Elephas maximus indicus: one gene and its partners. The protein of the gene in region 2 interacts with the protein of the main gene of each other region in a pairwise test. Links are inferred from orthologs where the notes say so. Each region holds a gene or a part of one and is shown on either strand. Other genes may lie near its edges. The genes, in order: PDK2, HTT, UBE2K and FTL.

The links.
Region 1: the proteins of HTT (region 2) and PDK2 interact in binary tests that used the Homo sapiens proteins (3 or more experiments, as listed by UniProt). The link is inferred for Elephas maximus indicus from reciprocal best matches to the Homo sapiens genes HTT and PDK2.
Region 3: the proteins of HTT (region 2) and UBE2K interact in binary tests that used the Homo sapiens proteins (3 or more experiments, as listed by UniProt). The link is inferred for Elephas maximus indicus from reciprocal best matches to the Homo sapiens genes HTT and UBE2K.
Region 4: the proteins of HTT (region 2) and FTL interact in binary tests that used the Homo sapiens proteins (3 or more experiments, as listed by UniProt). The link is inferred for Elephas maximus indicus from reciprocal best matches to the Homo sapiens genes HTT and FTL.

The regions. Positions count from the first base shown.
Region 1 is NC_064837.1:43,535,254-43,543,133, reverse strand, and holds the start of PDK2 (pyruvate dehydrogenase kinase, isozyme 2), read left to right. Parts: upstream 1-4,870; 5' UTR 4,871-4,891; coding exon 4,892-5,195; intron 5,196-7,300; coding exon 7,301-7,442; intron 7,443-7,880. UniProt on the Homo sapiens protein: Kinase that plays a key role in the regulation of glucose and fatty acid metabolism and homeostasis via phosphorylation of the pyruvate dehydrogenase subunits PDHA1 and PDHA2.
Region 2 is NC_064823.1:162,026,514-162,034,257, forward strand, and holds the start of HTT (huntingtin), read left to right. Parts: upstream 1-4,732; 5' UTR 4,733-4,897; coding exon 4,898-5,088; intron 5,089-7,744.
Region 3 is NC_064823.1:121,116,501-121,124,448, reverse strand, and holds the start of UBE2K (ubiquitin-conjugating enzyme E2 K), read left to right. Parts: upstream 1-4,948; 5' UTR 4,949-5,165; coding exon 5,166-5,228; intron 5,229-7,948. UniProt on the Homo sapiens protein: Accepts ubiquitin from the E1 complex and catalyzes its covalent attachment to other proteins. In vitro, in the presence or in the absence of BRCA1-BARD1 E3 ubiquitin-protein ligase complex, catalyzes the synthesis of 'Lys-48'-linked polyubiquitin chains.
Region 4 is NC_064829.1:99,377,888-99,384,266, forward strand, and holds FTL (ferritin light chain), read left to right. Parts: upstream 1-4,290; 5' UTR 4,291-4,510; coding exon 4,511-4,612; intron 4,613-4,773; coding exon 4,774-4,920; intron 4,921-5,254; coding exon 5,255-5,380; intron 5,381-5,555; coding exon 5,556-5,708; 3' UTR 5,709-5,869; downstream 5,870-6,379.

The DNA of each region.
Region 1 (7,880 bases), on a different chromosome or scaffold from region 2:
TGACCCAAGCTGTTGTGTTTTCAATTGTCTCATACGCATGCGAAAGGTGGACAATGAATAAAGAAGATCAAAGAAGAATTGATGCCTTTGAATTGTGGTGTTGGCGAAGAATATTGAATATACCACGGACTGCCAAAAGATCAAACAAATCTCTCTTGGAAGAAGTACAACCAGAGTGGTCCTTAGAAGCAAGGATGGTGAGACTATGTCTCACATACTTTGGACATGTAATCAGGAGGAATCAGTCACTAGAGAAGGAAATCACTGAAAAAGAGGAAGACCCTCAATGAGATGGATTGACACCGTGGTTGCAACAATGGGCACAAGCATAGCAACAATTATGAGGATGGTGCAGGACTGGGCAGTGTTTCATTCCGTTGTGCATAGGGTCACTATGAGTCAGAATCGACTCGACAGCCCCTAACAACAACAACAACCATATACCCCCACTCTGACTGGTGGGCCCAGTGACATACTGAGTCTCCTGGTATTAGTGTCCGTTGAGAGCTAGTATCCAGTAATCCCTGAAAAGTCTATTTCCTTTTCCCCAACGAACAGTAATTCTCGTAAAAGGCCATAGATCCCTTTGGAAAAGGCTGGAAGAAAGATTAACAGTACAAATTTTTAGCAGTGTAGTGGGGTCCTTCCTCAAGGGAACCTGGCCCCCCCTTCATTTAAGGGGTTTTGGGTCTTCAAACTTGCTCAAGTCTGGGAATTGATTAAAGAGCCGTGACTCTCTATTCTGACAATTCGAATTAGACTGCTGTTCGCTTGACCTAGAATTCATTTGTTTGTACGGATCAAGTAAATATTTCGAAGATTTCCTACCTATTTCACACTTAGGGACACCATGACCAAGTAGCCCACGCCAGAAGTCCATAGGAGCCAGGCTATTCTGATTACTGCTTTGGCTCCATGGTCCATTACGGTAACCATGCCAACCTTGTCTTTGTTGATTGAGCGACACCACTTGGCCCCAACCACCACAAGGTCTAATCAGCCCCATTGTAGTTAGGTGTTTTAACTCAGCTAGGGCAATTCCCACTGTCAAATCTGACTTACATAAAATAGCAATCACAGCAGTCTTTGAGGATGCTGGGGCTCCCCTTCACAAATTTGTTCCTCACCATTGTGGTAAAAGATGTATCCTCTGTGCACTCCATGTGTGGGTCTGTGGGTCTAACCTGATAAATCCACTCTAGCATGCCAATTTTCCTAATCCTGTGGATTCCTTCTTCTATAGTATGCCAAGGCAGGTTTGGTACTTCAGCTTGATTTAGTGTAGGCCACAGCATAATCCACGCTTCAGTAACGCAACCAAATAAACTATTAGATCCTTTCCTAACCTCTTGAGTTGAAACATTTAATGAAGTATCTGTACTTAGTGGGCCCATATCAGTAAATTCAGGCTGATCCATCCTTATCTTCCTTGCACCATTATCCCACACCCTTAATAGCCATTCCCACTCATATTCCCTAGGTTTCTGTTTGTACCCATTAGAAAAGTCAAGCAGTTTTTTTGGAGTGTTGCGTACCTCCTCCTGGGTCACACTTTGTACTTCACCTTTTGGGGTTCCCTGGGAATTTAGCCTAGAAGCCAAAATGGATGGTGGGGATATGTTTTGGGAACATTCAGCATTGTCTTGTAAGGCATCTGCCTCAGGCAACACCCCAGGCAATGACTCAGACAAAGTCTCTTCCGATGTAGCTGGGTGAATCTCAACAAATGGCGGTGGAGAGGTTAATGGTTTTACCAGAGAAGGTGGCTTATCGGATAAAGATGGAGTAATTGCTTCAAATGGGAGTGGGAGGGCTAGTTCTGTTAGCAGGAGTGATTCAACCAAATTTAGGGGCTCAGGGTCCCCAGCTTCCTGATTATCTGCCCATATGTCCCCATCCCAACTTTCAGCATCCCATTTCTGACCAATCAATGCCCTCACCTTAACTTCAGACATCACTTGAGGTTGGGAATTCAGTTGGTGTTGTAATTAAGCCACTTTTACAATAAAATTCTGGGCTTAGTTTTCGGCAATATCAGCTCTATCCTACAGGAAATAAAGTTTTCTTTCAAGACACAAGTGGAAACTTTGAGGTCGTTTATGCAGCGCTTGAGCTTCGACTCTGAGCCCCTGAGCTCATCCCTTTCTTTTACTACTTTGTCTAGAGAAAGTAGGACCAACCAACGAGCTTCCTTATACTTCTCATTATGACAAAATTGTAGAGAGGTACAAGCATGTGATGACCCTGAGCCTCACCTCTCACCAATATGTGATCTATTGGTGGTGATATTTTGCCTATTTCTATTGCCACCTTACGCCATGGATTAGCAGTGCCCTCTTTACCACCGGAAGCAGGGTCATCAATGTCTTTAAGACTAACCAGACTTGAGAATCAATTTAGAAAACTCATCCTTACAATTTTGTTTCTCTAGAACCACTCTCAGCGTCTTATGCTGGGCTCTCTAGAGAAGCAAAACCAGTGAAGCATCTGTCTGTACATAGATAGAGAGAGGGCTTTATATCAAGTAAGTGGCTCATGAAGTTGGAGAGGCTGGAAATCCCAAGTCCATGGGTCAGGCTAGAGGTTTCTCCTGACTCACATAGCTATAGGGGCTGGTGAACCCAAGATCGAAACCACAGAAGCTGACGAACCCCAAGATCGGCAGGCAAGCTGCTAGCTCAAGTCCGAAGAACCGGATGTCAGGTGAACAGGAGCCAGCTGCAGGATCCAGAGCGAGCAAAAGCCTAAGAGCCTTGCCAGAAAGTCCATCTATATTGGATGCAGGCCACAGCCCCAAGGAAACTCCCTTTCAACTGATTGGCTACTCACAGTAGATCCCACCATGAAGAGATCACACTACATAAGATTTCATCATGGAGGTGATTATACATCATTATACAACTGCCAAACTACATCATAACTGCCAAACCACTGAGAATCATGGCCCAGCCAAACTGACACACCACCTTAAAGATCACAGTTGGGATCATTGGATCATATGGCAATTCTATGTTTAACTTTTTGAGGAACCACCAAACTGTTTCCCACAAGTCCTGTTCTTTACAGTCACTTCTGAATGAAGCCTGAGCCTCAGTCTCCGCATCTATAAAATGGGGATAATAACAGTACAATAGCACTGTCTTGAGAATTAAATGAGATAATGTATGCAAACAGTGCCTGGCTCATAAGTTATTATCCATTCAGCTAAGAGTGTCTTCCATTGTGAAGCCTTGTGCATACAACTCTGTGTTAGCTCTCACCATACTCTGTTGTACCTACTTACTTACTTATGCAGCTGTCTTAGTTATCTGATGCTTCTATAATGGAAATACCACAAGTGGATGGCTTTAACAAACAAATTTATTTTCTCACCGTTTAGGAGGCTAGAAGTCTGAATTCAGCATGTTGGATCTAGGGGAAGGTTTTCTTTCTCTGTTGGCTCTGGAGGCAGGTCCTTGTCTCTTCTGAGCTTCAGCTCCTGGGCAATCTTCATGTGGCCTGGGATCTCTCTTCCCCAGTCTCTGCTAGCTTGCTTTTAATCTCTTTTATATTTCAAAAGAGAATGATTTTAGACTAACCTATCCTATTAACATAACAAAGACAACCCATTGCCAAATGAGATTATAACCACAGGCATAGAGGTTAGAATTTACAACACGTTTCTTTTTATTTTTAGGAGACACAATTCAATCCGCAACAGCAGGTATCTCCCAAACTGAGCGCTTGAGGAGAAAGACCATGTTCTAATCCTGCCTGTGTTTCCTGTTCCCAGGAAAAAGCCTAGCACACATTAAAAACCAATTGCTGTGGGGTCGAGTCCTAATCATGGCGACCCCATGAATGTCAGAGTAGAACTATGCTCCATAGGATTTCAAGGGCTAATTTTGGGGCAGTAAATCGCCAGGCCTTTCTTCCGAGGCACCTTCAGGTGGACTCGAACCTTCAGCCTTTGGCATTTGGTAAGTGCGGGCAGAAGACTGAACCCAGGAAAGATGCTATCAAAGTGTTGACCCCTTGGCCCAGTACAGGATATACCACGTTGGACCTCAAGAGGGCCCTGTATGTTCCTTACAGAGAGGCGGGGCTGCTGGGAAAGGAGGACCCAGGGAGGCCGGGACCAGCACAGGCTTCCCCTTCGGCCCCAGCACGAATCATCTCCCGGTACCTCTTTTTAAGGAATCCCAGTGCGAAGAGAGTCGCTTTCTCAGCTAGATGTCCAAAGATTCCTGCTCGGTCAAATGAGCTAGATAATAATGAAAATGTTTTGAAAACGGCACACGTAGACGCTAGCTGTTAGGGCTTTGACTCCGTGTTTTTCAACTGGAGGAGGCGCTTGGATCTTTGTGGAAGTGGGAGGGCCGTATGTCTATATGAGGGATTAATGTAGGCTCGCATCCCGGTTCAGAATTTTGCAAATAATCATCGTCTGGGTCACCGTCATGGAAACTGTCCAAGAAGACTGATTGCTGGAGGGTTGGGGAGAGACTAGGGACCCACAAGACCCCCTCAGGGAAAGTAGGGAGAGATCAGGACAGGTGAAACAAGCACCTTTGCGAAGAAAGTTTAGTTGGAAGCTACCTGGACAATTCAGAGAAGGAAAGGGTTAAAATGAGCCGACAATTGGTGGAGATTTGGGGAGGGAGCAAGGGAAAGGGAGGAAATTGGAGGGGAAAGAAATTAAAAGGCTCGAAGGACCTCTGGGAAGAAAGGAGTTAACCCAGCCTCCGACCCTAGAAGGAAAGGGAGGAGTTAAAGATCAGAGGCGGACTGGCCGCGCCGCCCTCCGAAAACAACAGGCCGCCGCGGGCTGGGACGGGGTTAAGCAGGCGGGCCCAGAGGGAAGCCACGTGCCGGAGCGGAATGTTAGTGGTTCTCCCGTAGTTGTTTGCACATGGCCATTGGCGACGTCGGGGCGCCACAACGAGCCGATTGGCTGGGGTTCAGAGGCCCCCCCCGGGCCAGGGGAAGCTGGCGGCCGAACCGGGTTGCTGAGGCTGGCTGGACCGGGCTGGGCCGAGCCGAGCGCGACAGCTACGCGTGCTGTGACAGAGTCGGAACCCGAGCCGCGGCCGCCGCCATGCGCTGGGTCCGGGCGCTGCTGAAGAATGCCTCCCTGGCAGGGGCGCCCAAGTACATTGAGCACTTCAGCAAGTTCTCCCCATCCCCGCTGTCCATGAAGCAGTTTCTGGACTTCGGTACGGAGAGGCGGGAGGCAGCTGGCACCGGGGCACCGAGAGGGGCAGCCGGGGGATGATTTGGGGGTGATTGGAGGGGTCTAGACAATGAAGGATTAACGAGGAGGAGAAGAGAGGCCCTGAGTGACGGAGGAGGGTTGCTAGGAAGGGTACAGGCAGGAAAAGGTTAACGGGGAGGAAAGGGAAGACCGAGGCATGAAAGGGTTAGGGGCGCCCCAGCTGAAAAGAGACTGTGAACTGAACTACTAATGGGAAGGGGGAGGGGGGAGGGCACTGAGAACGATGGGTCCAAGGTTTCTTCCTGGGCTTTGTGAGGGGTCTTGGGGAGTAAGGGACGGGGGAGGGGGGGCCATTAGGGTAGGAAGGGAGTAAGGTGACATTCTAGCACTAAAGGGTTAATGTGGCATTATGATGACTCTAAGAATGGGGGATAGAGAGGAAATGGGGGGTGCTAGTGGAAGTAACAAGGAAGAGTTGGGGAGGGGTAGCCATCTGGAAGGAGGAGACCTGGGCTGGGCATGGAAAGGTTAGACATTCCTGGATAGACTGAGAGAAAAGCAGGGAGCAGTTGGAGAAGGGGGCTCTCTCAGAAGAAGATGCCAACCAGAGAGGGAGCTCCTGACCAGTAAACCCAATGAAGGATGAAGGATGTGGCTCCCAACCATCCTGGTGGGCAAGGACACTTGAAGATCAAATCTGCCCCAGCCTGGCACCCTGTCCCTAGCTTGGCAGGGCCCTAGCACCATAAGGTGAAGTCAGGTCGCTTGTACCCACCCTTGGCTGCTTCTGGATTCTTGGGCCAGAATCACCCACCACCAGCATCTGGAGGTAGCTGTGGGGCAGGAGCAAGGCGGTACCAACCTGCCAGTTGAAGCAGGCATTGTGTAGGCTCTGTCTGTCCACACAGTATTTCCATGGTGCCAGCTGGAGGTTGGGAGGGGGTGCCCAGGTCTCTGAAGGAGCCCTGGGGGTGCTGTGGTTAAAGTGCTTGTCTGCTAACTTAAAGGTCAGCAGTTCGAACCTATGAGGTACTCCGGGGAGAAAGATGTGGCAGTCTTCTGTAAAGATTTACAGTCTTGGAAACCCTATGGGGCAGTTCTGCTCTGTCCTACAGAGTCCCTGTGAGTTAAAATCTATTCAGTAGCAATGGGTTTTGGCTTCTCTTGGCCCAGGTCTCTGAAGAGTTGAGAAGATAGTGCCTGGCTCAGGTTACAGCTGCGTCACTGACAGGAAGGGGCGGGGAGGGGGCAGTCAGAACACAAGGGCACCTGTTGCCCCAGACTTGTTTGCCCACCTCCTGGGCTTTTGAATCTTGAGCTTCCCCAGTATGGGAAAGCTTCTTGGGCCCACCACTAGCCCCAGCAACTGTCCAGCCCAGACTGGGCCCCAATTAGAAAATGTTGCTGCTGGGAGGGGCCCACAGTAGAGTTCAGTCTGTTCGTAGTATAGTGGGAGAAACAGACCTTCAGAAAGATGGTGACACACTCTGAGTGACAGAGTTGGAAGGAGAGCCTGGACTAGAACCCAGGTCTCCTGACTCTAGGCCATGGCCTTATTCAGACTTCCAAGCCCTCTTCTTAAAGACAGGCCTCGGTTTGGGGCTGCTGTCCTTGGGCCCTGTTTGCCTTACAGGCAGGCATTAATGCAGGGTGCCACTCTGCAGTGGGCATCAGGAGCAGCCTGGAAGAGACCACACTGGGACCCTGCAACCGCAGTGGTCCCGGTTTAGTCCCCCACCCTGGGTAGGGATAGATTTCCCAGACTGCTCTGCCCACCTGGATCAATCCCCCAAAGTGAATGTCCAGAAGAAAAGAGAAGACTGAGGTGACTTAGGCCAGAGGCCGCTCCAAGTGGGCCCAGGGATGGGTGGCCCTGTCCCCCATGGTTAAAGGTTCACCTGGAGGTGGGGAGAGGATGCAGCCCCCTGGAAGGTTAGGCATGGTGTATGGAGGTTTGAGCATGCAGGGGAGGAGACCTGTGTTGCTCTGTGCTCTTGGTCAGGCTGCTTCCTCTCTGAGCCCTCAGTACACGAAGAGCCTGACTGACCTGTCCTCTGGCTCTTCTAGTTTGAAGTTCTTGGGCTCACCCCTCTCTCCTTCCCCCAGGGTCCAGCAATGCCTGTGAGAAGACCTCTTTTACCTTCCTCAGGCAGGAGCTGCCGGTGCGCCTGGCTAACATCATGAAGGAGATCAACTTGCTTCCTGACCGGGTGCTGAGCACACCCTCGGTGCAGCTGGTCCAGAGCTGGTGAGACCCCTGGCCAGGGCCCTGCACCCTCCCACTCCATTGCCAGGTGTCCCTGGGCTCAGGGATGGAGGCTCCATGCTCCCAGCAGCCTTGATGGGGTGGGGGCAGAGCAGAGGCACAGGGGCTCAGGGGGCCAGGGAATTGCCCAAGGTCATGTGGGAGTCCTAGGCCAGAGCAGGGACTAAGATCCAGCTCCTACCCTCCAGTGTCTACGGGACAGCCTTATATTCACCATCCTCCTTTCTCCAGAAACCCAGGATCCGTAGTTTGGGTAAATCATAGTTGGCCCAAGTCCTGGGACCTCGTGGTTTTCACAGCTAAAATTCCAAATCAGACTGATGTCAGCATTAGCCACAGCCCTGGCCCTGGAAGCCCAGCATGTGCTATGTTAGGCTTTGCCTTTGTTGAATATTTATCTGGGTTTACTTTTTGGAAAAC
Region 2 (7,744 bases):
GTACTGAGTTAAAAGGGTATCTGGGGGCCATACTCTTGGGGTTTCTCCAGTCTCTGTCAGACTGGTAAGTCTGGTCTTTTTTTGTGTGAGTTAGAGTCTTGTTCTACATTTTTCTCCAGCTGTGTCCAGGACCCTCTGTTGTGACCCTGTCAGAGTCCACCCAGTCATTTGGGCCTGGCTCCTTCCAGCTCTACCATCCCAGTACATGGCTTTTGTTGTCATGATCCAAAATGGCTGCTCCGGCCATCTAAGATACTTCCCTGGTCCCATCCAATCTGGAGCAAGGGAGAATAAAGAAAACCAAAGACACAAGGAAAGATTAGTCCAAAGGAGTAATGGACCACAACCACCACAGCCTCCACCAGACGGAGTCCAGCACAACTAGGTGGTGCCCGGCTACCACCACCGACTGCTCTGACAGGGATCACAATAGAGGGTTCTGGACAGAGCTGGAGAAAAATGTAGAACAAAATTCTAACTCACAAAAACAGATCAGACCTACTGGCCTGACAGAGACTGGAGAAACCCTGAGAGTATGGCCCCTGGACATGACTCTGTACCGAAGTCACTCCTGAAGTTCACCAGCCAAGGATTAGACAGGCCCATAGAACAAACAGTAATACATGTAGCTCAACCATGTCTACGAGACTAAGTGGGCACACCAGCCTAGGGGCAAGGATGAGAAGGCAGAAGGGGACAGAAAAGCTGGATGAATGGAAATGGGGAACCCAGGGTGGAGAAGGGGACAGTGCTGACACATTGCAAAGTTGGTAACTAACGTCACAAAACAATATGTGTAATAGTTGGTTGATGAGAAATTAATTTGCTCTGTAAACCTTCATCTAAAGCACAATAAAAAAGTGGCTGCTCAGTTGCCAACCCATATCTCCTCATCCCTGGGCAGCGAGAAGATGGGCGCCCCCAGCGTGTGAGAGCAGAGAGTGCGCTGTAGAGTTTTCAGTGGCTGTGATCTTTTGGAAGTAGATCGCCAGGCCTTTCTTCTGACGTGTTTCTGGGTGAGCTCAAACCTCCAGCCTTTTGGGTAGCAGCCAAGCATGTTCAACGTTTGCACCACCCAGGGACTCCAAGATGGGTGGTGGTGGTTGCCGTCAAGTCGATTCCGACTCACAGCAACCCTATAGGACCGAGTAGAACTGCCCCATAAGGATTCCTAGGCTGTAATCTTTATGGAAGCAGACTGACACATTTTTCTCCTGTGGAGCGGCTGATGGGTTAGAACCACCGACCTTTCGATTAGCAGCTGACTGCTTAATCATTGTGCTACCGGGGTCCCTTCAAGATGGGTGTACCCCGCCCTTTTACGGAGACTTTCTAGAATAGCACCCATTGCTTCTGTTTTCATCTCCTTGGCGGAATTTATTTAGTCACATGGCTGAAAGGAAAAATGGGAAATGTATTTTAGCTAAGTGTCAAAGTGCTCAGCTAAAACTCGAGGTCCTGGAGTCCCCGCAAGGAGTCCTGGTGGCGTAGTGGTTGATCACCTGGCTGCTAGTTTAGAGGTTCGAACCCACCAGCTACTCCGCGGGGGAGAGATGTGATGTTCTGTTTCCATATAGATTACAGCTTTGGAATCCCTGTGGAGGCAGTTCTACTCTGTCCTACAGGGTTGTTCTCAATCAGAAGCACCTCGCCGGCAATGGCAACAAGTTGAGAGGCCCTGAGTGGCTCAAAGAGTTATGTACTCAGATGCTAACCAAAACGTCCAGGTCCACTCAGAGGCTCCTCAGAAGGAAGGCCTGTCAACTTACTTCGCAAAAATTAGCCACTGAAAACCCTGTAGAGCATGCTTCTGCTCTGACACGCGTGGGGTCAGCATGAGTCAGAGTCCACTAGAGCACGCTTCTGCTCTGACACGTGTGGGGTCAGCATGAGTCAGAGTCCGCTAGAGCACGCTTCTGCTCTGACACGCGTGGCGTCAGCATGAGTCAGAGTCCACTTTGACGGCAACTATTTTGTTGTTACTGTTTTTTATGACTAAAGAAGGTCAGAGTAGTTATTAGGAGGAAACTGTCTGACTTATCTATTGCCGTAACAGATCACCCCCGACATGGTGGCTTAAACAACACAGGCATTGTCTCATGTTCCTGAGGGCTGGGGATCCGGGCACCACTTAACCAGGTCCTCTGTTCCTTGGTCTCTCACATGCTGCTTCCCACCTGGAAGCTCGATGGGAAGGATCCACTTCCCAACTCATGTGGGGTTGGCAGGACTCACTTCTCCATCGGCTGTTGACTGGAGGCCACCCTCAGTTCCTTGCCACCTGGGCCTCTCCGACATGGCCTCTTACTTCATCAAAATGTGCAAGCTGAGAACGTAATAGAGTGCCAGCAAGATGGAAGTCACCATCTTCATGACCAAATCGCCGGAGTGACCTCCTATCACATTTGCCATATTGGGGAACAGTAACTGCCAGGTCCAGCCCGCACTTATGGGAGGGGAGCACACAAGGGCGTGAATCCTAGCAGTTGGGGGTCATTGAGGCTATCTTGGAAGTCGTCCTCCCCCAGCAAGTAACACATCATGCCCTGCCCTGGGTGGGAGCTGGTACCCCACCTGACACAGTGGACAGGGCCTTTATTAGTCTCAGGGAACAGGGACTGAAGTTTGGCCTCTTGTTTCTCTGCTGTCCTTACCCCAGGAAGGGGAGGCCATTGCTGTCCCTTGGGAACAAGGCTTCCTGTCCTGTTACTGGGTTTCCATTTACCTGAACACTTTGGGATGCTTGACAGGCTCTGGGAGAGGGTGGGGCTGTGGCTTGTGGCCACAGAAGAGGGAACACCGAGAGCAGGTGTGAAGGCATCTGAGTGTGAAGGCTTGGGTTGGCTGTACCTTGCTCTCCCTGAGGGGCTCCCTGTGGCCAGGTGGGAAGAGCTGCCCTCCTACTCCCTCCCTGTGCAAGCTCAGCTACCTCCCCAGGAGATAAGGAGTCCCTGGAGCCAGGACCCTCCAGCACCAGCCATCACCACCCTCAGCATGAGTAGGTGTCTCATAGACCAACACTGGAGAGAGCAGCGACCTCCACCCGCTGTGGAGGGGGTGCCCCTTGGGTGGGGGTGGGGGTCATTCCTGTAGGGGCATCTCTGCGGTGCCCTGATATACCTGTTCCAGGGGCTTCTCACTGCACCAGCCACAGCCTCTGAGCAGCACCGTTGACTGAGTAGCTTTACCACTTTACCCACCTGTACCTGCTGCAGGCCCGCTCTCCCCTCCTTCCGCCCATGGTGGGAGTCCTGGAAGGTGCCCAGCTGCTGTGGCGCCTGCCCTGCCAGGGCCTCTGCTTTAGGGGACGGGGGGCACCTGGGCTCCTCACCCCTGAAAGGCAGATCTCTCGGGTCCTCAGTAGCCACCGACCATAATCAGTTTTCTATGCAGCTGTTCCCCGTTCCTCCCGGCAGGGGAATGACCGGGGCCTGGCCAGCGAGTGCGCCGATCACCTGCCAACGTGGGGCGCACGGACCTCCCAGCCACAGCCGCTCTCGCTGCGCCGCCAGTCGTCGGGGGCGCCTTCCTGCGCGGGGCCGAGGGGGCGGCTCCCCAGGTGAGCAGAGCGGCCGGCGAGGCTGAGCCCGGGGAACAGCGCCCCCGGCCGGCCATGCAGGAGCCCGTGGCAAGGGGAAAACTCAGTAATGGCACTACTGTGTATTCGGATATTTTGTTCCCGATGGGTTTTTTGCATTAATTTCGATTTTCTTAAACATTGCCTAAGAATATTGTTTGTTTTCCGACGCCCCGTTCGTCCCACCTTCGTCCGGCAGCTAGAGCCGGAACCGGCGAGCGGAGAACGGGCAGCTGCAGCCCGGTGCCCCGGCGCCCTCCCGGCCCGCTCCCACCCGCAGCACTGCTGCCTCTCGGAGCCACGGCGGGCGGCTGAGGATGCAAAGGGCGCACGTTCGCCAGGCTCCCGGCACGGCGCTCGTGGGCTGGAGCTTCGCCCAAGAGGGTCGGCGCCACGGTCCGGGAGCCCCTGTTCGCGAGCCGGGCGGCCAGACCGCGCCGTGTCAGGGCGGATCAGAACCGCCCCGGCCGCTGGTCTCCTGTCTGCTTCCGTCCGGGCCCGGGCCCGCCCCTTCCGGAAAGCCCCGCCCCCGAGTCGGCCCCGCCCTCTCCCCAGCCGGCCCCGCCCCTGCTCTGCCCCGCCCTGACCCCCGCCCCCAGACAGGCCCCGCCCCGGCTCGGCCCAGCCCCTACCCGGACTGGCCCCGTCCTTCCCGCCCTCAGCCATGCCCCGCCCCCGGCTCGGCCCCGCCCCTACCCAACCGGACCCGCCCCCCAGCCCGGCCCCGCCCTCTCCCCGGCCCCGCCCCCGCCCCATCGACGTTCCGTACTCCTGGTTGCGCCCCGCCCCCCGACTTAGCCCCGCCCCCTCCCCTCGTTTTTTTCTCTCTCGTCCCGCCCTTTCCTCCGCGCTCCGCCTCCCTCCTTCATTCACTGCCGCCTGTCTCCATTCACCTCCCAACACTCCCCGCCCCCTCCCCCCACCCCCTGCCCGCCGCGCCCCGCCCCGTCCCCGCCCCTTCCCGCACGCCCCGCCCCGCGCCTTTGCGGGGCGCGGCGCTGGGTCTCGTGGCCGGAGCTCTCGAGGCTGCGTGCCTGCGGCGCTGTGGGCGGGCCGCCGCCTCGGCCGGCCATTGGCAGAAGCCGTCGCCGCGGGCTGTCAATCCCGCCAGCCGGCGTGGCCCCGCCTCCGCCGCGGAGCGTCTCGGTACGTAGGGAGGCGCGGGGGCTGCCGGGACAGTTCTAAAATGGCCGAGCGCCCCGGTTCCGCTTTTGGCTGCGGCCCCGGGCCCCATTCATTGCCCCGCTGCTGAGCGGCGTCGCGTCGCCGCGAGTCGGGCCCAGGGCTCCGGGAGTTGCCCCGGCCGGACGGGAGGCCGCCATGGCGACCCTGGAAAAGCTGATGAAGGCTTTCGAGTCTCTCAAGTCCTTCCAGCAGCAGCAGCAGCAGCAGCAACAGCAGCAGCCTCCGCCGCCTCAGCCTCCTCAGCTGCAGACGCAGCCGCCGCCGCCGCCCCCGCCCCCGCCGCCGCCGCCCGGCCCGGCCGTGGCCGAGGAGCCGCTGCACCGACCGTGAGTGCCGGGCCCGGCTCGGAGCGCGGGGCCCCTGCAGCCTCTCTTCCCGGGGCGGGACCTCGGGCGACGGCTCGGGGAGCGGCGTCCCTGCGGTCTGGGCCGCCCCGCGCGCGGCGAGAGTGGCGGCCTCGCAGCCCCCGGGAGGTTGGCACCTGCCCCCTCCTGCTGGGAGAGCCCAGCTCCGGCAGCGGGCCCGCAGCCCCTGCTCCCCCGGGGCCCCCTCTCTGGGGTCTCCGTCCTTCTGCGAGGGGACGTGGAGACTCGCTGGGGCCCCTCCTGAAGCCACCGAGGGAAGTCACGGCCCCAGGCTCTGGCCTTCCCTAGGTGATGAGAGTTAGGAAAAGAACTTGTTTCTTTTTATTTGCAAAAAACGGGGGTAGGGGTGATGTCTTAAGTGTGTCAGGAAGGGAACTTAGAGGAGTTAGAGACCACGTCCCGTTTGGCTTCCTCCAGGCCGCTTCCCTTCCTCTCCGCTAGTCCGAGAGGGAGGAGGGCTGGGGGCGCAGGGCACCTCGAGGGGAGCCCGGAATTGGCGCTGGAGTGATGTGGGGACAGTGGATGACATAATGGTTTAGGACGTCTAGGCGGGAGTGGTTGGGGGGGGCAGGGGCCTGAGGACGCCGTCCAATGGAGAGTGCTCTCCCAAGTGGCACTTTAAACAGCCTGTGACTTGAGACCGTATTCCCAGATTCTCCAGGCATTGCATTTGCTTCATGAATCGTAGTGGTAGTAACGTTTTTTTAAGCGTCACGTAAGAGACCCGCCGACGTAAGCTCAGGTGTTGGTCTGCAGGAATTTGAGCAAGTCGCGATTGCGGAGGAAGAGATGAGTTGCTTAGGTGGTTGTCGTTAACCAGTGGGAACTAATAAAGCCGACTTAAATATTAGGGAAAGTTGATGGTCTCCTTCGGGGACAAGGAGGACACATTGCCCAGGGAGAGACGGATTGCTGGGAGATGAATGAGGGGTACATTTTGCCAGTATCCTAGTCAAGCTTGTTAAAACGTGGGGTGTGTGTGGACCCCAGGGACATCTCAGGGGTGCCAGTAAACGAGCTGCTGTTTTGTTTCGTTGCTGACATTCTGTTACTCTTAGATAGGCAGGGATCTCCGCTGCCTGTGCCTGGGGAGAATTTTTCAAACAAAAAGACCATTGATAAACCCAAATCCATTGGCAGTTGAATCAGATTCTGACTCATAGTATAGGACAGCATAGAACTGCCCCATAGGGTTCCCAAGGCTGCACATCTTTACGGAAGCAAACTGCCATGTCTCTCTCCCTCAGAGCGGCTGGGGGGTTCAAACTGCCAACCGCTGAGTTAGCAGCAGAGCCTTAAGCACTGTGCCGGCAGAGCTTCTCAGACCATTAATAGCACCTTCTGATAGGACTCAAGGGCTTTTCCTGGAAGTGTCTGTGCTGAGTGTTCAGTAGGGGTTAAGAGCTACAGTAAGCTACGGCTGCTAAGCCAAAAAAAGGTCGCCCTTGGAAGCCCTGTGGACCAGTAGTCCCGCAGGGTCACTATGAGTCTGAATTGACTCGAGGGCAGTGGGTTATGGGTGCTGCAATTTTCAAGGAGCCCTCGTGATACAGCACACAACAACAGCATGCTGCAGTTCAAGCTTCTCTCTCACCTCCAGGTGTTTTATTTCTGATCTTGGTGTGTACAAGATAGCAGTCAACAGGAAAGAGTTTTCAGGAATCAGCCCCTTGAGGAGTCTTACTGTGTTAAGACTGATTCATTTTTAGTAACTTGTTCTTTATATTTCTTGTATGATCTTTGCTGTGTGTCCTGAGAGTTTAATTAGATAATGAGGATTCAGGGAGGTTATGTTGGATTAATTGTTAGAATAAAATTTAGAAAGAAAGAAATTATTTTTTTCCTTAAAACCTGTTTGAATATCCAGAGAAACTTTTTGACAGTTTGGCTTATCTCTGCAGCACATAATTTATAGTCACACGTCCGCATATGTGTGTATCTTGTGTAAAAGCGGGAAGCACTAGGCAGGGTCCTCGATGGGGAGGGATGGGGAGGAAGACCTCGCTGTTGTCCACTGGTGGCTTGTTCAAACACTTGGTCAGTCTAAACAGACGCCTTCTCTTTCTTATGCTGACTTGACAGGACATGAATTTGCTTATCTTCAAAATATGGGTAACAGAGGTTTCCTTCTCAGGCTGGCTTGACAAAGTAGGTAGATTTTGTTTCATTATTTTAAGGTAATGTGTGATTGATTTATTTTAAAAATCTAATCTATTATTTTTGTATAAGTAATACATTAAGATGATTAACAAATTCCACAATTACAAAAGGGTAATAATTAAAATATCTCCCTCCCACTCCTTTCTCCTAAGTACCTAACATCATCCCCGAAGGCAACTACTCTTAAAGTTTTTTCTGTATCCTTGCAGATATAATCAGTGAAAATGTTTAGACCTTAAATTTTCTTAAAGCAAGTGTTTTAGAATAGAAACTTAAAGGCTCTTAGCATGCTCTGAAATCAGCTGCCATAGGGTTTAGTTATAATTACTGTAAATAAAGTAAGTAAAGACCCTACTTCTAATGTATCTTGCTGTTGAAGAGAATAGTGATTAATTTTCAGTTAACAAACTCGCTGCTCACAAGTTTGGATCTTGGCATTTCTGTTTAGATGCTTCAG
Region 3 (7,948 bases), about 41 Mb from region 2:
TCTGCACCACTTCACTCCATGCTGTAGATATTTGGGAACCTGCGATGGTTGGGGTTTAGATCTAATTCTCTAAATTTAGAATATAATGTGCATTATAATCAATACTGTGGTGCCCACTGACCTGGAGCTAAGTTTAGAAATTTGACTGTGGATCTAAATGCTGCTTTCCATTCGGGCAACTAAAGCTCCTTACAGCGGGGGGGGGGGGGGGGGGGGGGTGGGTGGGTGGGTGTGGGTGTGGGTGTGGGTGTGTGTCGGGGGGGGCAGAGAGCTAGCAGCATGGAAAGGGCAGAGGTCAGTGAAAGCAAAAAAAAGTAAAATGATACAGAGTTAGGACTGAGTATTTTTTTAAAAAAGAGTTAAATGAGAGGCGTGGGTAGAATAGGCAACAGTGAGGGAAGCAGAGAGAGGAAAAATATATCAAAAAGTTGGCAAAACCCAAGGTCAGGAAAGGGTTGTAGCGAAAAAAGAATTTCTTTGCATTTGGAAGAGCAGGAAATTTGAATCTGAAGAGCAGTAATAGGAGCTTAGCAGGGTCTACGAAAAGGAGATTTGAACACTTCAAATGTTAGTAATTATTATCAAGGGTTAGCAAAGCACTAGTATGCCTTGCCATATTTACTTGAATCAACACATCAAAACTTTTAGGAACAACCAGATTAACTTTCCTCCATTTGACCTAAAATCATTTTTATAGCCTTGACACATATCATGTTTACGTAAATTACATATTCTGAAAGCCTGTGACTTCTTAGATCCAAGCCTAGTGTCTGAGCAGTACAGTATACTCAAATGTACTCAGGACCCCTTTGTACTCTGAAAAATTATTGAGGATTCCAAAGAGCTTTTGTTTACATGGCTTATATCTATCAATATTTATTGCATTAAAAATAAAAACTGAGAAATGTAATTTATTAATTTTATTATAATAGAATTATAATAAATCCATTACATATTCACATAAATAATATTAAAAAATAACTGTTTTCCAAAACAAAACCTCTTTAAGGACTGGCTTACTAGCATACTGATGGATTCTCCTATCTGCTTCTGCTTTCAATATATTGCAGTATGTTTGGTTGAAGTATAAGAAGAAAACCTAACCTTACACAGATATTTAGGTGGATAAGGGAAGAATATTTTAATAGCTTTTTCAGATAATTGTGGATATTCTTCTTTAATATTACACCCAAACTAGACAAATGGCAGTTTCATAAAGGTTAGTTGCAATGTGGAATCTGAAATGTTGTCCGTGTGTACTCTATTACATTAAAATTCATTGGTCTGTCTTGAACCTTGGGATCTTTTTTACCCATGCATGATTTTGTAACACCATGCATTGATCATTTAGAAAATATTGCTTCACTGTCTTGTACAGAGCTTCCAAATGTTGACACATCCCATTGTATAACAGCAAACAATCACATCTGTTAATATCACCATCAATATCATCAGCCATATCTTTAAGTATTGGGAAGTTCATGGTGGCAGACATGTTTTCCAAAATTCTGTCACTTGAAAGCTTGAATTTTATCATGGACGACACATACTGTCAGGTGTTTTTCTTGAAGCGACAGGCTCACCTCACTGATTTTTGAGAAAATGTCTGCTAAATACCCAAGTTGTAATAAACATACTTTGCCTGAGTCATTATGTCACGTAAAAATAAAACCTGTTGCTGTCTATTTGATTCCGACTCATAGCGACCCTATAGGACAGAGTAGAACTGCCCCACAGAGTTTCCAAGGACGCGTGGTGGATTTGAACTGCCGACCTTCTGGTTAACAGCTGTAACTCTTAACCACTACGGTACCAGGGTTTCCAAGTAAAAACAGTGTTTCATAAAAAAAAAAAATGGCTAGTTCAGCTCGTAACTCAGCAAATTGCCCAAGTGTCTTACCTTGTACTTTGTTACAATGCAGACATTCTGTACGTATACTTCCCATTTTGTTGCACAGAATATTAAGAAGATATTTACTCAAATGTTGAGATTTAATAACATTTACTGCTTCCCCAAAGACATTCTAAAGTGAAACTGGCTTTTTTTTTTTTTTAACCATGGGTATGTGACATTGAAGAATTACCACTAATATAGAAATTTTACAGCTGTTTTGCCCACCACTGCTTTTGCATCATCACTGCACATGTCAGTACAGTGAAAAGGCAAATAATGTTTTAGTACAGTTTTGACAATAGTTTTGGCATGGCAGACCCCCTGAAAACATCTCAGGGACCCTCAGGGGTCTGCAGACTTTGAGATTAATTTTATTTCCCCCACCCCCACTAGAATGTAAATTTCACAAAGGCAGGGTTTTTCTTTTTTTCTTGTTCACAGATATTTCTTCAGGGTCTAGATCACACCTGGCACATAGGAGACACTCACTAAATTTTTGTTTAATTAATTAATTAGTAAATGAAGTAATCAATCAGACCTAGGTAGTAGTAAAAAGCTTATGATCTGTATTACTGGAAACACTTTTTTAAAAAGTTACTTCATTGAATAGGTAAAATATACAACAGTGCACATGGTGAAAAGTCTCCTACCTTGTCTTCTCCAAGGTGCTTAAATTCCTTTCTCGGAGATAACCACTGTTGTCAGTTTTTTACGTATCTTTCCATCAATACTGTATGGATTCACGAACATCAAATACACAAGTTATTCCTTTCCCCTCTCACACATAAGATGGCGTACTATACACAATATGGACTTCCCGGTGCCTCTTTTAAACATAAATTTTTTATTTAGTAATAATTTTAGATTTACTGAAAAGTTTTAAAGAAGTGTACAGAGATTCCTGTATACATTTTACCCAGCTTCCTCTAATGTTAACATGGTACACAACAATGGTACCATGTCAAAACTAAGAAATCAACATTGGAACAATACTATTAACTAAATTATAGACTTTATTCAGCTTTCACCAGTTTTTCCATTAATTTTTTTTGGTTCTAGGATCCAATCCAGGATATCTCATTGCATTTGGCACGGTGCTTTTTTCACTTAAAATGTATCTTGAATATTGTCTCATATTAGTTAATATGTAGCTGCCTCATTCTCTGGAAGGACTGTAAAATGAATCCCTAGAAGTGGAACTGCAGAGTCAATGATTATGTGCATTTAAAAATTACTAAGTTCCCTTCCCCCAAGGAAATTACTATACCCTTCTAACTGGTTTCTCTGTGATTTGAATATACCAAGTTTCTTTGAAGTTCCAACATTGGGATTGGCAACTGAATGAGGGATATAAAAGTAAAGTATTCAAAATTTTTGCACACTTCAAAGTGATATTTTTTAGTTCTGGCACAAACACACATAGCACTGCATGATTTACGTTATTATTGTACTGTGACCCACTTATATATTTGGTTTCTTTCAAGACCACTAGGGGGCTCTGCTGGAAGAGTTTTGTAATTTATGCCAGTCCACCTAGGAAAATGATGTCCTGAGATGATGTTTTGAACACTTATTTTACTTGAAAGAGATCATCTTAATCCACCTTCCATGTTTTGCAGATGAGGAAAACGAGGTTGACCATGATCTTACAGCCAGGCATGAGGAGAGCTGGAATAAAACAACCTCCTCTTGGTTCCTGGGGCAGGAATTCAAGAAATTCCCTTAACACCTTAACTAAATGATTCACCTCTAGTCGTGATTTCTTTTTCTGCTCCCACATTTTTAATAACTTTTGCAATATTTTCATAACAGGGTACTTTACTAATTGGTTAGGTGAAGGAAGTGCATGAAATATAAACTTTTAAATAACACCTTTTATCACTTATTCCAAAATGTCATATTCAAAATACCTCTCAGCATCAAAAGTATATTATTAACTATAATCCCTAGCAACCCCTTTTAAATTGCCTTTCGAACTTCCTTTCCACTAAAAACATTTTACTGTTATCTTTATTCATTCATTCAGTCAATATTTATTGAGTGCCAATTAATGCCAGATCAGTTGCAGGCTTTAGGCTTATAGAAGTAAAAGCCCTCCTTTCCATCCCTTCAGGAGCTATTATTTCTCCAATTTCCACTTTATTTTTGGCATGCCTTAGTTCAGTGATTCTCAGTTTGGTCCCTGAACCAGCAGCATCAACATCATCTGGGAGTTTTTTAAAAATGCAAATTATCAGGCTCGCCCTGTACTCCAGGGACGAGGGCCAGCGATCTGTGTTTTAACGATCTCTCCAAGCTCCAAGGGATTTTGACGCATGCTTAAGTTTGAAAACCATCTTTTCAGTTCCACAGCTCGGTATTAATTATCTAAATAGATCAAAGATCAGTATCTGTTGATGTATTTTCTGCTGTGTATATTCTCAACAACAACAAAAAGTAAAATAAGTAAAAAAAAAAAAAAAATCGACATCTGACGTCTAAGCTTACCTCAGGCCTCTCCATGGAGTATCCGTCTCAAATACACCTAATGGAACCAGCAAGGACGATACTTAAAGCAATGATTTCTAGTTCCGATGGGAATATTAGAGGCACTTTATGGTGTCCCTGTTTTCAGAACAACAACGGACCGCAGTGCATTTTCTGGGGCCTTACCAACTGAAAATGGGCCGGACTGAATTCTAGGATAGTGTTTTCGTACACTAGACATAGTCGGGCACAGTAAGCCTGTGGGTTGGGGCTCTAGTCTGGGTCAGGCTGAGTAAGGGCGTGGGTCCAGGTCGAGTAGAGAGAACCGCGTGGGTCCTGCCGGGTTGGGTTCGAGCCTTCGGCCAGAGGCCAGGAACTGAAAGCCACGACCACACCATTCTGATTCGCAGCGCGGCGGAGTCGCAGGGACTCGGAAAAGCCGAGTGTGCGTCAGGCAGCGCGGAAACCGCACCCGCCCGGCCCAGACTCCGACGGGGCGGAGTCAGGCGACCGCAGCTCCAGCGGAGAGACGCGCGGCGCCGCGGCTGAGGCTACACCCGGAGCGGCTGCGCCGCCCGGCCGGGTCAGCATCGTGCGCATGCGCGGACCCGGCGCCATTTTGGTGGCCGGGCGCGGAGGTGATTCCACACTGAGGAGAGCGCGGCGGCTGAGGTGGCAGTGGCAGCGTTCCTGTGCTCGGGTCTGAATCGCCGGAGGAGGAGGCAGTGGAGGAAGAGGTGGCGGCGGTGGCGTTGGTCGTAGCGGTGGCGGAGGAGGCGGGTACGAATCAGCTGCGGGCGGAGACATGGCCAACATCGCGGTGCAGCGAATCAAGCGGGAGTTCAAGGAAGTGCTGAAGAGCGAGGAGGTCAGAAATGAACTCCCGGCCATCCCCCACCTCAGCCCAGGGTGGGAGGGCCCTTCCAGCGGCCACCCCGATATCCCCTGTAACCCCTGGGTGGCCCGCCCCGCGGCCGCCCTACTGCCTGTGGGGAAGCAGTAGCTTTCCCCTCCTTCCGCCGCCTTCCTCTCCCCTCTCAGGGCCCAAGGATGGACGGTCTTCCCTGCGGGAGGTCTGGGGACGAACACGTTTTGGGGAGCAGGTTAGAGAAGAGGTGCGCTTCTCAGAGGGGTGTGAGCCGTGGAGAGACCCCCGAGGCGGTAGCAGCAGCTGGAAGTGTGGCTGCGGGTGGGGAGGGTGCAGGCCGAGCCTGAGAAAACCCGGGAAGTGGCATGGGGGAAGGGAAAAGGTGGTAACTGGATCCGAGGGAGCTGTGCTGCTCGTAGGCCCACACTTTTAAGGGTATTCTGGGTTATCGCCTGTCAGGCCTTCAGCGCCCTTTCCTTAGGGAAGGAGCGATGAGAGCTCCTAGGTATTGATGAAAGGAGAAAGACAGGCATTCAGAGTTACTCCCTCTTAGTTGGGTGTTCGAAGAGAAGGGGAGATACAATGACATTATTTAAGTAGGGAATATAAGGGAATTTCACCTGAGATAGGAAATTAACTCCAAATTATATCACCTCACTTAGACCCCCAATTTCTGGACCCTTTATTTATTGGCATCTAAAGGTTTCTGACTGGGTAAATGCCAGTTGTTTGGTGTATTAAAGGTATTTAAATATTTTTAGCCAGGAACAAATAGTAGGGGGTATGAACAGCTTATTTCAAAATATTGTTTACAAGTTACAGGTCAGTCTCTTCTAAGACAATGCTGTCTGTTGACTCTGTTGTGTTGTACCATGAAACTTCATTATGATGTCCCTCATAGTTAACCTGAATCTTACTTTTGAAAAATAGCCCTATTAAAAACATGAGATTTCAAAAACAGGAACAAAACAAGAAAACCCATGAGATTTCATCAGATTAATATGTTGTTGTATCTCTTTATTAAGGTGAGTAGAAGGTTTATCCTGACATGTATCTAAAGTGATTAAAAAATAATTTATCTCAAGCTGTGCTTGAGACCTATGGAGTTTTAGATACTTTCATGCTGCACACAATTATTTATATAAGAGATTGAAAACATTATAGTAATTTGACTCAAAACTATGCCAGTATCAGTTTTTCATACCAAATTAACAAGAATAGCAAGTTGTTTTCCCCACGTGGATTTAACAGAGGAAGATCAAAAAGTAATACTGAAAATGATTTTTTTCTTAATGTCACATCCCATTGTTGAGTATATTGTTGCTGTTTGTTTTTTTTTCTCTCATTGTCTTATGTTCGTACTTTGATAATGTCAACAACGATTTGTGAAATTCAGCATTCTAAGTATGTGATGAGTAATTGACTTAAGTCTGATATCACCTGGGATTTCTTTGTGTTTACTGGGTCTGTGATAAAAAAAAAAATAGTCATGTATTTTTCCAGGTACACATGGAGAAAATTATTTAAAATTATTCAAAAATGACAAATGCCAGCAGATTTAATGAACGTAGGTAGTATATATTTTTTTAGTACATAAGTAATGATCTGCCTTAAAGAGCATGTGTGTGAACTCTAACCCCTATATTTGTTCAAGTGCCAAAACTCTGAATGGAAGGATGACTTTGTATTTTTATGGTACAGTTTGGAAATAGAGTCATAAATGTCTACTGATACACAGTGAAACAATGATTCTGACTTTTTATTTTATAAAATGTATTCCAGAATAGTTGACATACATTAATGAAAAATTGCAGCTAATATTGTTGCCAGCAGCCTAAAACGTACTTTTTTATAAGATTGTACAAATTTGAAGCTTCTAATGCCTTATTTTCCATTACATAAAAGTGGTAAGGTTTACTGCTCTAGTAATTCATGTTGGTTGGTCACTTTGTATGAGGTGACTTTTCACCATGATATTCTTAGTACTTAGGTTGCCAGAAATACTTGTATTGCTCTACTAATGCATACTTTTAAAATAGTACTTCTCTTTTATATGTAAGGGATGATGAAGCCTTGCTTCAAATAAGTGTCATAGTGTTTCAGAGGAAGAAAACAGGAAATGCAGACAGACAAAGGAGTTTTTTTTTTTTTTTGAGAATAGTACCCTTGCAAATCTGAAAGGATACTTCTTCCAGGAAAGTTAGTTGCAAAGAACATTTAGGGAAGGGTCAGAAGATTTAATCTTGTAATAAATATAACCAATAAATAGCTTTATTTTTACTGGCATTTTTATGTTGATTATTATCAACTCGTCAAAGGACTTGTATAATCCATGTATTACTTCCTTTTTACTTTGTGAGTCAATGTAGTATTTTCAGTAGCTGGTGAAGTAGTCAAGTATTTATCAAGTCATTTTATGCAGATCTGCAGTTTACCAAAGTTTATTTCATGTGCTCGTTTACTAAGAGTATTGGTTAATATAAGATTTTTTTTGGAGGGGAGGCTTTTAAGTGACTTTAAAGATAATTGATGTTTGCTGAATTCTGGTCATAAGAGGTTATAAACAGCTATTCTTAGAGTGTGTTTTTAGTTTAAATACAACCTCAAAGATAAACCTAAAAAGCAAGATGCAGAATAGTGTGTAGGAGGCCACCATTTATGTCAAAAGGGAGAAATATGTGTATTTGCTTATACAAGTGAAAGAATTCATGAGAAATTGG
Region 4 (6,379 bases), on a different chromosome or scaffold from region 2:
CCTCCTCCTCTCTGGGTTTCTGTCCCTCTTTCTCTGGGTCTCTGTTCATCTCTCTGGGTCCCTGTTCTGTCTGAGTATCTGCCCCCACCCCCCATATCTCTGTCCTCTCTCAGGGTCTTGGTTGCCCCCCCAGGTCTCTCTCACCCTCTCTGAGTCTCTGCCTACCCCTCTCTGGGTCTCTGTATCCCTGTCTATCTGCCCCCCTGCCCTGGGTCTCTTTCCTCTTCTCTCTCTGGGTCTCGATCCTTCTCTCTCTGGGTCCCTGTCCCCCCAGGTCTCTTTCCCCCACTCTCTGTGGGTCTCTGTGCCCCTCTCTTTCTAGGTCTCTGCCCCCCTTTCTCTCTTTGGGTCTCTGTCCCCCTTTCTCTAGGCTTCTGTCCCCCTCTCCCTGGGTCTCTGTCTTTCTCTCTCTATCTCTGTTTCTCCCTCTCTGGGTCTTGGTCCCTCCCCCAGGTCTCTTTCCCCTGCCTCTCTGAGTTTCTGTCCCCCTCTCTTTCTCTCTTGAGTATCTGTGCCCCCCACCCCCATGTCTCTGTCCCCCTCTCTCTTTCTCTGGGTCTCTGTCCTGAGTATCTGTCCCCCTCCCCATGTCTCTGTCCCCCTTCTTCTGTGTCTTGGTCCCCCCCAGGTCTCTTTCCCCCTCTCTGAGTCTCTGTCCCCCCTCTGGGTCTCTGTACCCTTCTCTCTGGGTCTCTGTTCCCCTCTCTCTCTGGGTCTCTGTTCCCCTCTCTCTCTGGGTCTCTCCCCCCGACCCCGGTCTCTGTCCCCATCTCTCTCTGGGTCTCTGTTCCCCTCTCTGGAACTCTGTCCCCCTCTTGGGTCTCTCCCTTTCTGGTCTCTGTCCCCCCCTCTCTGGATCTTTTCCCCTTCTCTAGGTCTCTGTTCCTCTCTCTCTAGGCTTCTGTGTCCCTCACACTTGGGTTTCTGCCCCCTCACTCTCTGTTTCTTTCTCTCCTGCAACCTATGGTCTCTACCCCTCTTCTGATCCTCTCTGTCTCAGCCCCTCCTTTCCCTCCACTTGTGGACACTTTCAAAATCCCCTTTCCATAGGTGGGGCTTGCCTGGGGCTAAAGGTCTTTAGGCTGAGGAATGACAACTGGTCAATCAATAACTAGGCCTGACTAACTAGGTGGCTCAGGTCACTTACCCTCCCCCCTCCCCCATGTGCTCTCCCCAGAGACACTAAGTCCAAGCCAGACACCAAGTCAGGTGAGAAATGTCGGAGATATATGAGCTGAGACTGAGCCCCTGACCCAGAGAGAGGGAACGCTATGGCCACAGGAAGAATCTCCAGGAAAGACATAAGGGAACTGAGATAAAGTATGACGTGGAAACAAAAACATCTTGGGGGAGGGGGCCACAGGCCTGGTTCTGAGGGTCTCAGTCAGACCAATTGCAGCTGGCCCTGAGGGGATGAGGTCAGGGGAGGGGGGCCCTCCCACCTCAGTCCTGGTCCCCTTCCTGTGCCGAGCTCACCATGACTCAGCATAGCCACTCACCCAGACGGCCTTTGTTGTTGGGTGCCGAGGACTCAATTTCAACTCATAACTACCCCCATATTACAGAGTAGAACTGTCCCATAGGGTTTTCTAGGCTATGATCTTTAGATCTTTATGGGAGTATATTGCCCGGTCTTTCTTTCACAGAGCTGCTGGGTGGGTTTGAATTGCTGACCTTTGGGTTACGAGCCAAGTACTTAAACTTTGTGCCACCAGGGCTCCTTAACACCAAAACCAAACCCATTGCTGTAGCGTCACTTCTGACTCAGGGATCACCTTTTGGTTAGCAGGTGAGCTCTTTAACCACTGTGCCACCAGGGCTCCTATACACGCCCCTTAGGGACCCCAGATACTGGCCCAGCCTTGGCATCCACAGATCCCCTGGGTGAAGGGCTACCCCGCCTGCACTGGCTGGCGTGGCTGCTCTGCCAAGCAGACCTGACCTCTTACCCCTCCCCTGTGACTTCTGTTCCTATGCCACATGAGCTACCTCCATTACCGACTCATCTAGGGTCCAGTTGCTGTCTTTGTACCTTCCTCCTCTACACAACCAGGAGACTTGGTTGGGCAGTGATTAAGCGTCTGGCTGCGAACAGAAAGGTCAGCCTTTCAAACCCACCCAGCAGTTCCGTAGGAGAAAGACCCTGCTTTCATAAATATTACAGCCTGGAAAGCCCTATAGGGCAGTCGTACTCTATCACTTGAGGTCGCCATGAGTCAAAACCTGTCTTGATGGTACTCAACAGGGAGCTCCTTGAGGGCAGGGCCCTGCTTTGAGTCAGCTCTGCCTTCCCAGTCCCAGTATGAGCCTGGCTCACTTAAAAAAATGTATGTACAATGAAGACAGTCTCCTCCTAGGTCCCCAGGCTCTCCTAGTTTCCCGAGAGACCCTGAAGTAGTGCATATTGGGCTGGACACCCAACTACCTCTGAGAGGTCCCTTCAGGGCCAGAGAGAATTTCCACAGTCTTTAGACTGCCTCCAAAACAAAGAAACCCAATACGATCAAGTCGATTCTGACTCACAGCGACCCTATAGGACAGAGTAAAACTGCCCCATAGGGTTTCCAAGGCTGTAAATCTTTACAAAAGTAGACTGCCACATCTTTCTTCCAACAAGGGGATGGTGGGTTCCACCACAGACTTTGCGGTTAGCAGCTGAGCACTTAACCACCGAGCCACCAAGCCTCCTAGCCTCCAAAATAGTTCCCAGGAAATGCAGCCCAAGAGACCCCCCCCCCAAGGCTCTAACGTTATTTCCTACACACACCCCAATCTCAGCATCCAGAAAAACACTGCTGTTTTGTTTTTAGGTGCCATCCAGTTGCTTCCAACTCATAGCAACCCTGTGTACAACAGAATAGAACACTGCCTGGTCCTGTGCCATCCTCACAATCCTTATGCTTAAGCCCATTGTTGCAGCCATTGTGTCAATCCATGTCCTTAAGGGTCTTCCTCTTTTTCGATGACCCTCTACTTCACCAAGCATGATGTCTTTCTCCAGGGACTGATCCCCCCTGATAACACGCCCAAAGTATGTGAGATGTAATCTCGCCATCCCTTAAAATAGCCCCAAGGTATCCTGAAAGCCCAGACAATTCTTCCAAGATTCCAAGAGCTCTTGAGGGTTCCTGAGTCCCCCTACCTCTCAAAAAGTCCCTGTTCCTGTTAAGTGTCATTGACTCAATTTCAAAACATAGTGAACCTATGTGAGCCCTGTTGGCACAGTGGTTAAAGTGCTTGGCTGCTAAATGAAAGGTTAGTGGTTAGAACCCACTAGCCACTCTGTGGGAGAAATACCTGGCCATCTGCTTCCATAAGGATTACAGCCTTGGAAACCCTATGGGGCAGTTCTACCCTGTCCTATAGGGTAGATATGACTCAAAATGGACTTAACAGTAATGGGTTTGGTTTTTTTTTTAATGTTTGCGGGGAGCAGACCACCAGGTTTTTCACCTGCCTGCCAGGTGGATTCGAATTAAAATAGTGCCTAGATTTCCAGAAACACCCCAGCCCTTGAACCCCAAGGCTCCAAAACCACTGCTTTTCACAACTTGCAGATTCCTCTGAAGGCCCTAGAGACCTCCCCCAGCTTCCAAGAAAGGCCTCCAAAGAAACAGACTTCTTAGATCCAACTCTAAAGCTAGAGAGACCTTCCACTTTTGGGTAAACACTAGGGAAACAGCTCTCCTATCCCACAACCCAGCGAGACCCCCACCCAAAACCCAGTGCCATCGAGTCGATTCCGGCTCATTGCGAAGCGAGACCCCCAGGGTTCCAGAAATACTCTTCTTGGGGCCTTCCAAATTTCCTAATGACCGGGAAACCCCTTATCTTCCACAAGCAACCCCCCCTGCACCTCTAAGGAAGCCCCAGGGTTCTAAAAGAGTCCATGCTTTCAGAGACAAGCCCAGAATCCTACTTCCCTGAAACATCCCCAAGACCCCAGGATCATCACCGCCCAGGGCTCCCCAGTGTTCCCATAAACCTCCCATCTTCCAGAGCTGCCCCCAGAATCCCCCGACTTTGCGAATAAGCCCCAGGACCCTGCACCCACCGAACCCGCCTAGCACCCACTTCCTCCCCGCATTCCCATTTCACAACAGTCTCACGCTCCAAGCGCGTGACTCCCCAACCCCGGGGGGGCTGGGGGGAAGGGGGGAGGCGCCTATCTGTTCTGGATTGGTCAGGCGCGGGCTCAAGTCCCGCCTCCCGCCACCGCGGACTGGTCGACAGATCGCCCTGAAGCCCCGCCTGCGAGGAGCCGCATGCTATAAAACACGCCGCCCTGGCCCCCACCTTCCTTAAGCTCGCTCGGTGGTCCCGTGGATCTGTTTCTTGCTTCAACAGTGCTTGGACGGAGCAGACCCGGGGACGCCCTACCTCCAGCTTCGCGCTACCTTTCAACCTCGTCTCCTACGCGCAACCTCTGGGACCATCTTCTTGGCCATCCCCTGTTTCCAGGACCAGCTAACACCGTTTTTTGTAGTTAGCTCCTAATCGTCGACGAACCATGAGCTCTCAGATCAGTCAGAATTATTCCGCTGAAGCGGAGGCCGGCGTCAACCGCCTTGTCAACCTGCATCTGCGGGCTTCCTACACCTACCTCTCTCTGGTAAGGGTCCCCGAGACGTCCCCGGCCCATGTTTTCCCTAGCTGCGCACCTCCGGCCCTGTGCGCACGCGCGGACCTTCTTTGTCCCGTTGGATAGCAGAGGGCGGAGTCCTTCGCCTGGCCTCGCCTTCCATTAACCTTTGTTCCCTCTACCTCCCGCAGGGCTTCTACTTCGACCGCGACGATGTGGCCTTGGAAGGCGTGGGACACTTCTTCCGCGAGCTGTCGAAGGAGAAGCGCGAGGGTGCCGAGACTCTTTTGAAGCTGCAGAACCAGCGTGGCGGCCGCGCCCTCTTCCAGGATGTGCAGGTAAGTGGCGTGTGGGCCACGGACTACATCTCCCAGCAGGCCTTCCGCACAAGGCATTTGGACAGCTGCTCTGTAGGCGCTGTAGCGGATTCTTAGGAGATTGGGTTCGATCCTGTCTGGGTTTGTTTTTGGGCGAAGTAAAGGTGCTTTCCCAAGTAGTGGCCGGCCAGGCTACTGGGTGGTCTCATGGGAGGCAAAGTTGTAGGAGGCTTGGCGTGATAGATCAAGCATCCTTGCAGGCTAGGTCCATTATCCTCAGGGACTTCTGGGAAATGTAGGTTTTAGGTGTTTGCCAGATGTGTGAATAGTTGTGAGTCGTCTTTTTCTTGTACAGAAGCCGTCCCAAGATGAGTGGGGTAATACCCTGGACGCCATGGAAGCTGCCCTGGCCCTGGAGAAGACCCTGAACCAGGCCTTTCTGGATCTGCACGTGGTGGCTTCTGCCCAGGCAGACCCGCATGTAGGTACCGCCTTCATCCGTTGCAGCCCCTCCTCAGACCTTCCCTGGCGTTTAACCTTACAGTCTGAGCTTGCTTTCTTCTTTGATTTACTGGGCAGATTGCTTTCTGAGGACCACATTTGCCTCCCTCTTTCTCAGGAACTGCGTTTCTTATTTCTCCTTTCATATTCCTCAGCTCTGTGACTTTCTGGAGAGACATTTCCTAGATGAGGAGGTGAAACTCATCAAGAAGATAGGCGACCACCTGACCAACATCCGCAGGCTGGCCGGGCCCCAGGCTGGGCTGGGCGAGTATCTCTTTGAGAGGCTCACCCTCAAGCATGACTAGGAGCCTCCAGAGCCTCCTGTGAGGGCCCCTCTGCAATCTTCTGTCCTCATCAGGCTTTTGCCTGAATTTCTCCCTTTAGCTTTTAGGCAGCATCTGAACCACCCTGGAGGGCCCTCTCCCAAGCCGTGGACCAAATGGAAACAATAAAGCTTTTTGCAGCAGCTACTGGTGTTGTGTGTATGGTGTGGAAAAGGAGTTATAATCTGTTTTCACAGGTCTTCAGGCTGTGCTGGCAGGGAGAGGGGGCCCTATCTTTCATTATCTTATATTCTAAGGCAGGACTTTTTCCAGGGGGTTGTGTACGGGGTAGCTTCAGTTCTGTTTGCCTTGGCTGTTAACTTTCTCTCCTTGATGGTAGAGCCCAGACTCCAGGGAGGGTTTGGTGGCAGACCCAGGCATTGTTACAGGGAGTAAAAGTAATTAGAAACAGGTGTTGCTTAATGAGCAATTATGGGGCCAGGCTCTGTGCCAACCTCTTAAACAGCTACTATCTCTGGCTCAATCCTTGGGGGTAGATGAAATAATTATCCTCATTATATGGGGAAATTTACGACACAGTTAGCTGCTCAACTACTAGCTGAAAGGTCAGTGGTTTGAGCCTACCCAGGGATGTCTTGGAAGATGGGCCTGGATATCTGCTTCTGAAAGGTCACAGCCTTGAAAACTATTGG